Struthio camelus: one gene and its partner. The protein of the gene in region 1 purifies or fractionates together with the protein of each later gene. This does not show direct contact. Links are inferred from orthologs where the notes say so. Each region holds a gene or a part of one and is shown in the gene's direction. Other genes may lie near its edges.

Region 1 (7,117 bases):
TGCTGCAGCGATACTTGATATAAATAAAACCTGGCAGTAAAATGTAGAGTAAAGATAAGACCTTTTGCTGGTTTAACTTTATCATAAAGGTGACATAGGCAAGCTGTGCAGCTTTACATTTTAACCAGGGGACTCTGTGGCATTTAAACCGTCTAGAAATGGTTGTACTTTAATGCCAGTAACAATCTGCTTCCTCTAGTGTCATTAAAATATATACATTTAGTGTATACTTATCACAAACAAAAATCTTTATAAGGGTATAAAAAACAGCAAATGTACATGTTCTGTTTTTTGGCAATTGTGGCATGCATTTTTGGATGATCTTTAGAGAAGACCATTTTCTAAAGATTTTCGGTGTTCATACATGGTATGTGGATCTTAATGAAGTCCTGGATTTTTTGTTTGTTTTTGAGTGTAGGCATTGTGAGTATTCACTTTTAATCCTGTATCCAAAAACAATTATACATTTTTGATTTAATACAAGCAAAAGCTCTTCCTTTATCTGATACACTGGATTCTCTAGAATTTGTTTCCATATTAAAAGCATGCTGTCATAACTGCTCTTGTTGAGATCTCGTCAGTCTGAACTTAGGTGCCACACTTTTTGAATTGATGGACTGCTTGTTCTACTGTACCATGTATGATTCTTGTCCTTTCCTACTTCCTTCATGACAGATTATGATGTGGCTTTATATTGTGCCTTACTTGTACGTCTAGAACTAAATGTTTTTCATTCCCCCGGAACTCTTCAAGCCTAACCCTTCTGAAAGCGAATCAGAACTGATAAAAGTGTCCTGAAGAAAGTTTGGATAGATCTGATTTCATTTCCTCTCAATAGTAGCCACTTTGTATTTATATGGAAGACCAGTTTTTGAATGGTCTTGCAAAATTTGGGGGTCCTCATGGGGGGGGGGGGTGTTTTTACGCCCTAAACCCCCTTTGCTAACGCTTTCACTTCCATGATTTATTGAACACGCTTACGGATATTTGTTGAGTACTTTCTTTGGATGAGAGGGAATTAGTTACAACTAAAGCTATGTTTAGGTGTGGATGGGCTGGATTTTCTTATCATACCAGTTTAAATCATTGTGATTTAATGAAGTTGCATTGCTGTAAAGCTGATGCGAGAGTCGGGCTCAGATGTGTTCATTTCCTAATTCTTATGTATAGCAGACTTTTTCCGTACTGAGAGAAGTGGGCCAGGAAAAAGTTTTTAACAAAACATAAAACGGATGAAGGGTTGTTTTAACTAACGTAAAAGGAAGCAGATGCTTCTGAAATACCGTGGTGTCAGTTTGGATTTTGTTTGAAAAACAAGACACCCCCCCAACCCAAACAATTTTCTGATATTTGCCTTCATTAATAAAACAGCTTATTCACAAAATGTAAAGAATGGATGTGCTTTTCTTTTCCGTACATCATTTAAACATAGCTATTTTTTTAAAGCTGTAAAAGGCTTTATCAGGAGAATTTCAAAGGGTTGTTTCAAAGTTGCCTTCAGCAGAAATAGCAGATGCAATTCTGTTCCTCAAACTTGCTTGCTAGTCTTCCTGAAATTCTGTTGAGGCATAACCCAATTATGTAACACGAATGTTAGGATCTGTATTTGGCCTTGCGACCTGAATTTCAAGAACGCACCTAATCATGATTTTTATTTTATTTTCAAGTTAGAGGCTTCAGTTGGAATCATCTAGTGAAGTGTGCTGCTAGATGTGGTCTTGGCTTATTGACACAGCCTTGCACAGAGCTGAAGTTTATTTGTTTACCCCAGGGATTGTGTGAAGTACATTTCAAACAGTTACTGTTTCAGTGACTGATTCTTCTTGTAACTGTATTAAGGGCATTAGTATGTTGAGAAAACAGCACTCTTGAATATCTCCCAATATAAATTGGGATTCTTAAATGTCGTTAATGAAAGATGGCAATACTAGGTTATATCTTCTTCACAGCATACAAAATGTCTATATCTTTCTCTGATTTACATTTCACAATATGCCATGTTTTTCTCCCCCAATGCTTCTAGCATGGTAAGGAGGTGTGTGTGCGCACTGAATTTATAATCCTCAGCCTTTCAGACATTCATGAACTTCCACAAGAGCAAATCCTGACTATGCATTTATTGTCTTTCTAATGAGCAGTGGAGCTAAAAGTGAAGGGAGAGCTATTTTAAAACACAGTTTTTTCATGTCAATAAAAAAAAAAAAAATCCAAGCTCTTTAGATAACATCAGTGTTAGGGGGTTTTCTTCATTTAAGAATATTTGATGTTTAGGTACCTGAATTAACCCCAATTTGGGTTAAGTCAACTGGCTCAAGTAAGAAAAACTTCTGGATTGGATTTAGGACTGACAAAAGCACCCTCCAGCCTAACAAAATCTTCTGCTTAAAAAACAGAATCTAGTTTGAATCACCTATCCTAGAATAGTATTTCATCTAAGTAAAACTTCTCATTGCTCAGTATTTGTGGTTGAGTGAACTCTTAAGGCTGATGGCACACGCAGACATAGGTGGTTGAAAGGCAAGGGGAAAAAAAGCATTTTAAAGAAAACATGGTATCCTGCTCTGCCTATGCTTGGGGTCATGACTGTAATGCTGTCCTTGACATTCTGTAATCAACTTCCAACTGGAGCTCAGAAAAACTTATTGAAAGTCTTGTCTCTGTTAGAAAATAAATTTACCTTGTTAAAAGCATGATCTGTTAAGAGTTACAATGTTTAATGTTGGTTAATAGTTGTGCAGTTTTTCTTTTCTTTTTCTGTCCCTGAAAAGAGGCACAATTAAACTATTGACTTTGTTTACTCTGTCACCCTTGATCCCTAGCACTTCTATTCAGATACAAATTCATCAATGTATGCAACATCCTTTGTAATTTAAAATAAAAATTGTGGAGGAAAAATGGTCTCAAATCGTTGTATGCGTGGAGTGACCTTGAACGGTGCCGTACTCTCTTAAACGCTCTGCCGTGGGGCTCTGCGTTCAGTAGGGCATAGCTGCTGTAACGCGTTGACTCGGGCTTCCTCCCAGAAACGTGGGCCTGACGTTGCGGGAAGCTTCAAGCGCTCGCTCCCTCTGTGCCGAACGGGTACGAAGGAAAGGGTGTCAGTGTCCCCCTGCTGCGCTGCGGTTTTCCTGTGGAAGGAGTCACTGCTAGGTAAGGAGACAACGGGCTGGTTTCTCCTAGTCAGTGCTCATAGTAACAGCTAACGCGCAAAGCTGCCGGATGAGTGCGTTAGCACGGGGAGCTAGCCTGAAAACCGCCAGGTCGCTTTACAGGCTCCCTGAAACGGCCGTCCAAGGGGTCTCCAACCCCAGCGCCTGCTAACTGGGTGTAGATCGGGTTTGTGATGCAGCCTGATCTGAAGGCAGGAGTGGGAAAAGACGGGGCCAGAACGGGAGGCGTTTGCAGAAAACAGCAGAAGGGTCGACGTGGTGCTCCCCTTCCGCTTGCTGCAGGGCCGCAGAAGGCGGTAACGTTATTCCCAGAGCCTCTTCGTAGCAGGATCAGCCATGTTCCCGGCTGCTGAGGGCCAAAGACCAGAAAGTCAGGGCCTAAATGAAGTTGGCGCGGTGTCTGCGGGGCCGGGGAGGGGAGGACGGGTGCCCTCGCGCCGCCCCCCCTCCCCGACGCCTCGCTGGGGACGAGGTGGGGAAGCGCCTTGGCTGGGGGACGCGCCCCCGGCGCTTCGCCTCGGCCCTGCCCTGCACCCCGGCCTCTTCCTCCTCCTCCTCCTCTTCCTCCTCACAGGGAGCCTGACCCGGCTCAGTCCGATCGCGGAAAAGGAGTCGACCCCTCTCTTCAGGCCGATGTAGCGCGTGAAGGAAGGCCTGGCTGGCGGAAAGGTTACTACGATTGTAGCAGTCGCAGTATCGAAGGGCATATGACAGGAATCGTTTAGCAAAGGATTACTAATACGGACGAGAAACGCCGCTGGCTGCGCGCCGCAGCGCGGAGGCTCCGAGGGGGCCTGGCGGCGCAGCTGAGCCTCTCAGCTACGTGAGGCATTTTAAGCCCGAATCCCTGCGCTTGATGCCCTGAGCCGTTCCCGCGGCAGCAGGCAAAGCAGCGCGGGGGCGCCGCCGGCGGGGCCCGGTCCCTCCCGCCTGGGGCAGCCCGGCCACCGCCGGCCGAGGCCACCGGGGTTATCCGATGTCGCCGCCCCGGCCCCGGCTCTGGCCCCGCCGCCCCAGCAGGCGGCGCCCAAGCGGCAGCGGCGGCGGCGCGGCCTCTGCTCCCAAGATGGCGGCGGCCGCCTCGGTGCCGGTGCGGGTCTGTCACCAGGAGATCGTCAGGTTCGACCTGGAGATCAAGGCGGCCGTGCAGGTAGCGCCGCCCGTCCCGGGCCGCCTCCTCTCCCCTCCTTCCCCTGCCCCGGGCCGCGCTGACCGCGCCGTTGCCTTGCAGGACATCCGGGACTGCCCGGGGCCGCTGAGCGCCCTCGCGGAGCTCAACGCCGCCGTGAAGGAGAAGTTCCAGCAGCTCCGCGGCCGCCTCCAGGTGAGGCCGGGCCCCGCGGGCCCCCCCGGCCTCTCGGCCGCCGCCGAGGCACCGCGGGCCGGTTTGGGGCGGGCGGGGGGCTCGGGAGTCCGAGCCGCGCGGCGAGGCTGTGGCGGTGTTAACTCCTGAGGGAATTTTGGTGTTAACTCTTTCCCTCACGGGGGTGAGGGGGGGACGGGGACACACAACTTGCAGATGGTGACAGCGCTTGGTCAGAACCTCCTGTTTCTGCTTTCCGTCAAAGGAGCTTGAACAGATGGCGAAGGAACAAGATAAAGAATCGGAGAAACAAGCCTTGCTCCAGGAAGTGGAAAACCATAAAAAGCAAATGCTCAGGTAGGCTGGGCAGCAGGTGCTGTGTACAGGTTCGTTCCCTGGGGCGAGGTAAACGTGGAGGTACCTGACTTGGGTGCAGCGTCTCTCAGATTCCCGTTTCGCAAATACGGTCACGGACACGAAGCCGTTTCGCCCAGGACGGCGAGAGCGGATCCGTGACGGAGGGGCAGGACTTTGTTCTCCTCGTCCCCTCTCTCCTGCCCGTGACGCTAGTCGCGGTCTGCTGAGCCGAATCCCCTTGGAGCAGCACGGTACGCAAGGCTGAGCGCGTAAGGCAGTGCCTTGAGGGACCGTTTTCTGACAGGTAGCACAATATCCCTCATCCCCTTGCTCCATAAAAGATACACGCAGGAGGAGAAGCAACAGAAGGGAATGTGGTATATTATTATTATACCACGTTATTCTGTGGTATAACGTAGAAATAGTCCATGTGTGTACATAGGGTGCTCAGTTATGGCAGTTTCCTTGTTGAAAACCGTTTTAGCTTGCAAAGTGTTACCATCGTGCTACGCCGTTGTACTCTTGTGATTTCAGCAATCAGGCGGCTTGGAGAAAGGCAAATCTAGCGTGCAAAATTGCTATTGACAACTCTGAGAAAGATCAGCTGCTTCAGGGAAGAGACTCCTTAAGACAAAGGTACTAAACTATTCCCCTTTATGTTTTGGTAACAGATTTAAACAGTAGATGTGGTATTCACTGGTTTTAAAAGGGAGTGATGTAATAATTGTAAGTCACCTGATTGTATTTGGACAGATTTTCTTTTATGAGTGCATTTAGCTTTTGTGTAGATTTTAAACTGTTAAGGATTGTAATAATTTTAGGGATTTTTTGGTGTTGGCCCATCTATGCAGAAAAAGGGGACAGGATAGCCTTCAAAGTGTTTCTGACAGCTTTTTACATTAAATCCAGTCAGATTCATAAACAAATAACAGATCATTTTTCAGTCTGTTTTCGCATGCAGAACTGGATTAAGTTTATATAATTTGTGTATTGAAAAGTTGGCTTATGGTGAAGCAGCAGAAATCCAAGATAACGAAGTTGTATCAGCGCTTTTGTGCCACTTTATGAAGCTGTATAGTCAAGGATTAACAACTAGCGAGGTGTGAGCCTCCATGAGACTCTGATCCACTGCCTAACAGTTGTTTTGGCTCATGACTTTAACGTGTTGCGATTCTTAGTGTTTAGTGAAGATAATGAGTCCATACCTTAATCTTAGTTTCTCATGCGTTAATAAAACCTGGTTGTATCTTTTGTACGTTGGCAGAGATGTGGGGTGCCAAGCTCTGTTCTTAGCTCCCTGTCAGCAGCACTTTTCTGCAGTACCCAGAGACATCATTTTCTCCCTTACCCCTTTATTTTTCCCTTCCTCTTTCAGAAAGACTACAAAGGAGAGCCTGGCAGAGAGTGCAAGTAACATCACGGAGAGTTTGATGGGCATTAGCAGGATGATGTCACAGCAAGTCCAGCAGAGTGAGGAGACTGTGCAAACCCTAGGTACAGCTGTAATTTGGGTATTTGGTTATGGACTGTATGACTGAAGTGCCTTTCGCTAGTACTGTTAGCATGGGGAGAGGCAAACTGTCAAGATGTGGAGCACGGTGGAAAGCTGTATCGCTAATCCTGAACTTACTAGGATAATTAAAGGACTGTCCAGCAGAACTCCTCTAACACTTGGGTAGGAACAGCAAATAATAATGGCACACTGCATGAAGCTGTTTGCTGGGCTGTCTTTCTGTTTCGTGATGTGTCTTCTCAGTTCTGAAATAAACAAGAGGGGGCAGGAGGAAAAGCTCTTGTTTTAGTTTCACATAAAAGTGTAAAAGCAATGTGACTTCACACAATGTGAAGAGTGTGTTTGCTGCTACTCAGTGCTCTTGTCCTGGCATGCACGTGGCAACAGAAAAGAAAATAAAAGCATAGGTGCAAGTCCGCACGTAGAGGAAACTTAGTATGGATGGAAAACTGTTTTTACCCAGTCTCCAGCTGGGATGACTAAGAGATGTGGAGATCAAGTGACTTGAACCTGAGGTCGCTTGCTCTGTCAGCAGTGCATCGGGGAGTGCGAAACCAAGATTTTGCCCTGTTCTTTGGCTTAGACTCCTCAGACAATAAATCAAGTGGCCTGTCAGAACTGGTGATTCATGAACCATTTAGAAGTTGGATCTGCGTTGCTTGGGCCCCTTACTAGCTGCGCTTGGGCAGAAGAGAAAATAGTTTAAAGACTAGGAGAAATAATGCGGCTTCCCCTCCCTCGTTTCCTACCTTCTCCCCCGCCCCCATCTGAGGA
Region 2 (6,985 bases), on another chromosome or scaffold:
CCTTTGGGACTGCAGCCCTGCTGACAGGGCATGTTCCTGCTGAGCAGCACCACAATTTTCATCTTGCTCCAGCGCTTTAGCTGGGCAGCAGGTATAAGATCCTCTGAGCGATCCCCACGGCAGGAGAGTTCTGGTCCTACCTTGGGAGCAGGTACTGCAAAGGGGAGTATGAAGAGAGAGAAGACCATCCTTAGACTTATTATTCTTAAGATTTTTCTTTAATGAGACACACATTGATAAATTTTCCTCAGCAAAGGTTGGCAGTAAACATCCAGCCGAAACCAAGCGGGCAGCTCCTACAGCCGTTTTCCCAGCTGCATTGCATGGCTGTTACCAAATGGAGCACGTGCGTGCGAGGAAAGCTTGGCCTGTGACAAAAGCTCAGCCCCAAGAGCTCCAGGTCCGGGGGAAGGGTTGGCTCGCCCTCCAGGTCCCAAGGAAGGGCTGGCTCGAGGTCCAGGTCCCGGGGAAGGGCTGGCTCGAGGTCCAGGTCCCGGGGAAGGGCTGGCTCGCGCTCCAGGTCCCGGGGAAGGGCTGGCTCGAGGTCCAGGTCCCGGGGAAGGGCTGGCTCGAGGTCCAGGTCCCGGGGAAGGGCTGGCTCGTGCTCCAGGTCCCGGGGAAGGGCTGGCTCGCGCTCCAGGTCCCGGGGAAGGGCTGGCTTGCGCTCCAGGTCTTGGGGAAGGGCTGGCTTGCGCTCCAGGTCTCGGGGAAGTCTGGCTTGAGCTCCAGGTCCCAGGGAAGGGCTGGCTCGCGCTCCACATCCCGGGGAAGGGCTGGCTCGCGCTCCAGGTCCCGGGGAAGGGCTGGCTCACGCTCCAGGTCCCGAGGAAGGGCTGGCTCACGCTCCAGGTCCCGGGGAAGGCCTGGCTCGAGCTGCAGGTCCCGGGGAAGGCCTGGCTCGAACTGCAGGTCCCGGGGAAGGGCTGGCTCACGCTCCAGGTCCCGGGGAAGGGCTGGCTCGAGCTGCAGGTCCCGTGGAAGGGCTGGCTCGAGCTGCAGGTCCCGAGGAAGGGCTGGCTCGAGCTGCAGGTCCCGGGGAAGGGCTGGCTCACGCTCCAGGTCCCGGGGAAGGGCTGGCTCACGCTCCAGGTCCCGAGGAAGGGCTGGCTCGCGCTCCAGGTCCCGGGGGAGGCCTGGCTCGCGCTCCAGGTCCCGGGGGAGGCCTGGCTCGCGCTCCAGGTCCCGGGGAAGGGCTGGCTCGCGCTCCAGGTCCCGGGGAAGGCCTGGCTCGCGCTCCAGGTCCCGGGGAAGGCCTGGCTCGCGCTCCAGGTCCCGGGGAAGGCCTGGCTCGCGCTCCAGGTCCCAGGGAAGGGCTGGCTCGCGCTCCAGGTCCCAAGGAAGGACTGGCTCACGCTCCAGGTCCCGAGGAAGGGCTGGCTCACGCTCCAGGTCCCGTGGAAGGGCTGGCTCGTGCTCCAGGTCCCAAAGAAGGGCTGGCTCGCGCTCCAGGTCCCAAAGAAGGGCTGGCTCGCACTCCACATCCCGGGGAAGGGCTGGCTCGTGCTCCACGTCCCGGGGAAGGGCTGGCTCACGCTCCAGGTCCCGGGGAAGGGCTGGCTCGAGCTCCAGGTCCCGGGGAAGGGCTGGCTCGTGCTCCAGGTCCCGGGGAAGGGCTGGCTCGTGCTCCAGGTCCCGGGGAAGGGCTGGCTCGAGGTCCACGTCCCGGGGAAGGGCTGGCTCGAGGTCCACGTCCCGGGGAAGGCCTGGCTCGAGCTCCACGTCCCGGGGAAGGCCTGGCTCGAGCTCCACGTCCCGGGGAAGGCCTGGCTCGCCCTCCAGGTCCCGGGGAAGGTCTGGCTCGCGCTCCAGGTCCCGGGGAAGGCCTGGCTCGCGCTCCACGTCCCGGGGAAGGCCTGGCTCGAGCTCCACGTCCCGGGAAGGGCTGGCTCGAGCTCCACGTCTCGGGGAAGGGCTGGCTCGAGCTCCACGTCTCGGGGAAGGCCTGGCTCGCGCTCCACGTCTCGGGGAAGGCCTGGCTCGCGCTCCACGTCTCGGGGAAGGCCTGGCTCGCGCTCCAGGTCTCGGGGAAGGCCTGGCTCGCCCTCCAGGTCTCGGGGAAGGCCTGGCTCGCCCTCCAGGTCTCGGGGAAGGCCTGGCTCGTGCTGCAGGCCCCGGGGAAGGGCTGGCTCGTGCTCCAAGTCCCGAGGAAGGGCTGGCTCGAGCTGCAGGTCCCGGGGTAGGGCTGGCTTGTGCTCCAGGTCTCGGGGAAGGGCTGGCTCGCCCTCCAGGTCCCGGGGAAGGGCTGGCTCGCGCTCCAGGTCTCGGGGAAGGCCTGGCTCGCGCTCCAGGTCCCGGGGAAGGGCTGGCTCGTGCTCCAGGTCCCGGGGGAGGGCTGGCTCGCGCTCCAGGTCCCGGGGGAGGGCTGGCTCGCGCTCCAGGTCCCGGGGGAGGGCTGGCTCGCGCTCCAGGTCCCGGGGGAGGCCTGGCTCGCGCTCCAGGTCCCGGGGGAGGGCTGGCTCGCGCTCCAGGTCCCGGGGAAGGGCTGGCTCGCGCTCCAGGTCCCGGGGAAGGGCTGGCTCGTGCTCCAGGTCCCGGGGAAGGGCTGGCTCGAGCTCCAGGTCCCAAGTAAGGGCTGGCTCGAGGTCCAGGTCCCAAGTAAGGGCTGGCTCGTGCTCCAGGTCCCAAAGAAGGGCTGGCTCGAGCTCCAGGTCCCGGGAAAGGCCTGGCTCGAGCTCCAGGTCCCAGGGAAGGGCTGGCTCGCCCTCCAAGTCCCGGGGAAGGCCTGGCTTGAGCTCAAGGTCCCGGGAAAGGCCTGGCTCGCGCTCCAGGTCCCAGGGAAGGGCTGGCTCGCGCTCCAGGTCCCAGGGAAGGGCTGGCTCGCGCTCCAGGTCCCAGGGAAGGGCTGGCTCACGCTCCAGGTCCCGGGGAAGGCCTGGCTCGCACTCCAGGTCTCGGGAAGGCCTGGCTCGCGCTCCACGTCCTGGGAAAGGGCTGGTTCACGCTGCACGTCCTGGGAAGGGGCTGGCTCGCGCTCTAGGTCCCGGGGAAGGGCTGGCTCGCGCTCCAGGTCCCGGGGAAGGGCTGGCTCGAGCTGTAGGTCTTGGGGAAGGCCTGGCTCGCCCTCCAGGTCCCGGGGAAGGCCTGGCTCGCCCTCCAGGTCTTGGGGAAGACCTGGCTCGCCCTCCAGGTCCCGGGGAAGGGCTGGCTCGCCCTCCAGGTCGCGGGGGAGGCCTGGCTCGCCCTCCAGGTCGCGGGGGAGGCCTGGCTCGCGCTCCAGGTCGCGGGGGAGGCCTGGCTCGCCCTCCAGGTCGCAAAGAAGGGCTGGCTCGCGCTCCAGGTCCCGGGGAAGGCCTGGCTCGCGCTCTAGGTGCCGGGGAAGGCCTGGCTCGCGCTCTAGGTGCCGGGGAAGGCCTGGCTCGCGCTCTAGGTGCCGGGGGAGGGCTGGCTCACATGCTGAGGCCCTAGGCCCAGCCACAAGCAGTCCTCCACAGCGGATGTACGTGGAGGAAGGCCGGGAGAGCACAGGCAGCCTAGTCAGTGCTTCTGGGAAACGCACTGGTGTATGTCAGGACGCAGCAGGGAGCAGCAGGGCCCCTCTCCTACACACTCGCTCACACACGCTCTCTGCAGGTGTATGAACTCTCTGCCCCTCCTTGCCTCTCGCCCGTTATCGCCCTCTCCCGCAGGGCTGCAAGGCAAAGCCGCCGGGCGCTGAACTTTCTCGAGCTGAAGCTAGACGCACTTCCACGAGCCCAGGGTCCGCTCCGCCCCACCCTCCCCCGGTACAGGGCTTCCAAGGCCGGAGGGCACGGGCCGGGCCGGGCGGGGCTCGGGCCGGGCCGGGCCGGGCGGGGCCCGGCGCGCCCGGTAGGGGGCAGCGCGGAGGGGGCTGGAGGCCGCGCCCGGCGCGCGGCGGCGTCGCCTCAGCACTTTGGCCTTCGCCGGGCGCCGTAGTCGCTGCGGCGGTGGGTTGGGCCCGGGCGAATATGGCCGCCGCCGGGGAGCGCGGGGGAGGTGGGACGGAGGCGGAGATGGAGATGGCGGCTGTCAGCGAGGGGGAGGAGGAGGGTGAGGAGGAGAATATCCTGTACGACTTGCTCGTTAACACCGAGTGGCCGCCGGAGACAGAGGTGCAGGTGAGTGTCGTCCGGGCTGGGCCGCGGCGCGGGGCGGGGGACCGGCCACGTCGGCGAGGAGGGGCCGGGCTGCGCCGAGCAGCCTGCGGCGGCCGGAGCCGTTCTCCGCCGGGCCCGGGGGCGGCGAGGGAGCCTCGCCTCTGGGCAAGGTGCCTCTGTTCCCCGGGCTGACCGGCTTGGGCACAGCGAGCGGGGGAAGCAGGGGGGCAAGCACCGTGTGCGCTGTGGTGGTTCTGCCCCTGTGACCGTCTGGCGCCCGCTCCTTTTCGATGTCACTTAATTTTTGCCCTGTCACTCATGTTTATGCCACTTGATTTTCCTTGAAGCCTTTTTTGCTCCTTCGGTGTGACTAATGCGTGCCAGGTTTTGCTGTCGAGCGTCTGCGAGGAGGGGCTGTGACAAACTTCAGGCGCGTTTTCCAGAAACAGCCGTACGGAGAGTAACGGGAACTGCACCGTGGCAGCTTGGCCTTTATCAAGCTTACTTTGCATGAGCCAAATTAGTTCACTCTCTAGAGTTTTACATCGGAACGTTACTTGATCACAGCTGTCTTTTGAGAGGGTGGAAAAGGTTTAAGAGGTATATTGCTTTGTATGTGTAGGTGGCACACAGGTGGATGACAAAGCTTTAAAGATAGGAAAACAGGACTCCTGTATTGTAAGATCTTGCTTGTGTTCTCCTTTTCTGTGGGTCAATGGAAAAACTCAGATGCTGAGGGTTTGCTCTCTCATCTTTTTCCCTGCAGTGTACTGAGTTAGTTGCCTCTGTTTCTGTTGCTGTCTGCTTTGGACTTAGAAGATGAGAGGGAGGGATGTGGTCTTATGTGTTGCTTGTAGTGGGCTTTCAAACCCACTGCATTTGTTAAAACTCTTTTTAGTTAGGAAAATACATTACGGAAATATTTTAGCAGGGCTTTATGCTTTAATGGGAACCTCTCGACAGAGGGTATGGTAAAACATCACAGATAAAAGAACGTACCTACTTATGATCACTAAAACCGTTCACATGAGAACAGCTTTTTGTTTGCCAGAAAACATCTTGATTTGTTTATCTTGAGCTTGAAGTCTTCAGTTGCTGTAACAGGAATAGGTGTTTGAGGAAAATAGTTATGGTATTATCAATTGATAACATATTGGGTTAGTGATGTAGATGAATAGACAGTTGCATCTGTTTTTATTTAACTTTGTTTTGAGAGATGGTCAATACTGTGATTTTCTTCTTCCCTTTCTGTTTAGTCATAGATGAAAGATTTGCATATCTGAAAATCATAAGGAGGACTTGGTGTAGTGGCACATGAGACTGTTTTTCCAATTGTACAAAAGGGACAATCTTCCCTTCTTCTTCTGCTGACAATCATCCCTTCTTTTCTGCTGTCACTGGTATTCTTGAAGTTGTACAGCGAAGGGAAGTGGCTAGTCTGAGAGTTAATTCTCTTGTTTCATTACTTCTGTTGGGTGGTCCTACAAACCCTCAGATAGGTGTGGGGGGGTCAGGAACGTGTCAGTAAAGGCGGAGGGAAATGTGAGACCTGTCTTCAGCAGCAGTGTGGGTATGTGCCAGTTTAAAGTGATTGTGGAACCACAGCCTGAGGGTCCTGACCCACCCTGACTATTGGAATTTCTGAGCAACGTAGAATTCTGCTTGTCAACTTGATCAAATATTACAGGCCATTTTAAGCTCCGCATTTCTTTCTTACGTGCTACATCTTCAAGATAATTGCCACTTTAAATAGCAAAATTAGAAAAGCCTGGAAATGTTACATTTTGTAGTTTGTTAGAATTACCATTTTTTGAAGACTGTCAAAAGACAAGGATACTTCCGACATGTTCTAAGGCTTTAGTAGAAAATTGCTTTTACACTGACATACACAGGCAAAGAGAAATTTTGTCAGTGTGATTCAGTGTTTGCCTGAAGATGTCTTAACAATAATATTATTTAGGTGGCTGTGCATTTCCCCTTGGAACATCAGTCTTTTTAATTCTGGTTTATTCACATTGTGCACTGTACAGGAAAAAGTCACAAAAATAATTCTCACCTTATTTCTTGTAGAACTGAGTGGTTTAGAATGACTGAGGTGGGAAATTGAAGAAAGGGAAAGGAAGCTAAGTTGAATGTTATACTGGGAAATCAAATTAAATCTCTGTCTACGCAGTTTTACAGGATACAAAAAAAGGCCTTAAACCATACTCCCCACAGATCTCTATTGACTTTACTTTATTTTTCTGTATCTCATTTGGGATGATTCAGTTTTGATTGCCGAAGTGCCGAGCACTTCCAACTGTAATTACAACCGTTGGAAGCTCTGTCTCCGATGAGAATTTAAAGATCTGTTAAATTCAAAACACTTAAAACTGGCATTTCTTAAGTTGGATCCCATATTGGCTTTAATCTTAGTTCTTGCTAGTATTCTCATTTACATATATTACGTTTCCTGAGAAATATTTTGTTTTGTAAAGAACGCCTACGTAGAGGTGACAATGCCAGAGAAAAGGCCGGTATGAAAATTGAGCAATCTACACTCGGTGCAGTGGTATGATTGTATATAACAAGTGGTTCAGGAATTCCAGAGTACGTGATGAGAACAGAAAGAATTATTGTGTCGTTAATCATTGCAAACAGTGAATGAGGCAGCGGTTCTCTGACTAAGGTTGCGGGGGAAGACTCATAGAATCATTTAGAACTGTGGAAAACAAGCAGATTGAACTTACTCTTTTCTACGGTAGGCATATGCAGTCTATATTCCTAGAAAGAATAATTCCTAGTCTATGTTCCATAGAAATAATGATTTATAATACTTTACAAGAGGACATAGTCACAAGTGAGTGACTTTTATTACTACCAAAGACTGAGTCAGTCTTGTTCAGTCTACTGATTGAATCAATAGACATCTATAGTAATAGTTTGTTTAT

The links. Proteins that work in one complex are often made in the same cells at the same time.
Region 2: the proteins of BNIP1 (region 1) and NBAS purify together in Homo sapiens (co-immunoprecipitation; 3 studies listed by BioGRID and IntAct, with this or other methods). This does not show direct contact. The link is inferred for Struthio camelus from reciprocal best matches to the Homo sapiens genes BNIP1 and NBAS.

What each region holds. Positions count from the first base shown.
Region 1 is NC_090954.1:8,598,364-8,605,480, forward strand, and holds the start of BNIP1 (vesicle transport protein SEC20), read left to right. Parts: upstream 1-4,107; 5' UTR 4,108-4,146; coding exon 4,147-4,320; intron 4,321-4,401; coding exon 4,402-4,494; intron 4,495-4,738; coding exon 4,739-4,830; intron 4,831-5,364; coding exon 5,365-5,466; intron 5,467-6,205; coding exon 6,206-6,324; intron 6,325-7,117. UniProt on the Homo sapiens protein: As part of a SNARE complex may be involved in endoplasmic reticulum membranes fusion and be required for the maintenance of endoplasmic reticulum organization. Also plays a role in apoptosis.
Region 2 is NC_090944.1:21,407,881-21,414,865, forward strand, and holds the start of NBAS (NBAS subunit of NRZ tethering complex), read left to right. Parts: upstream 1-3,896; 5' UTR 3,897-3,926; coding exon 3,927-4,076; intron 4,077-6,985. UniProt on the Homo sapiens protein: Involved in Golgi-to-endoplasmic reticulum (ER) retrograde transport; the function is proposed to depend on its association in the NRZ complex which is believed to play a role in SNARE assembly at the ER. Required for normal embryonic development.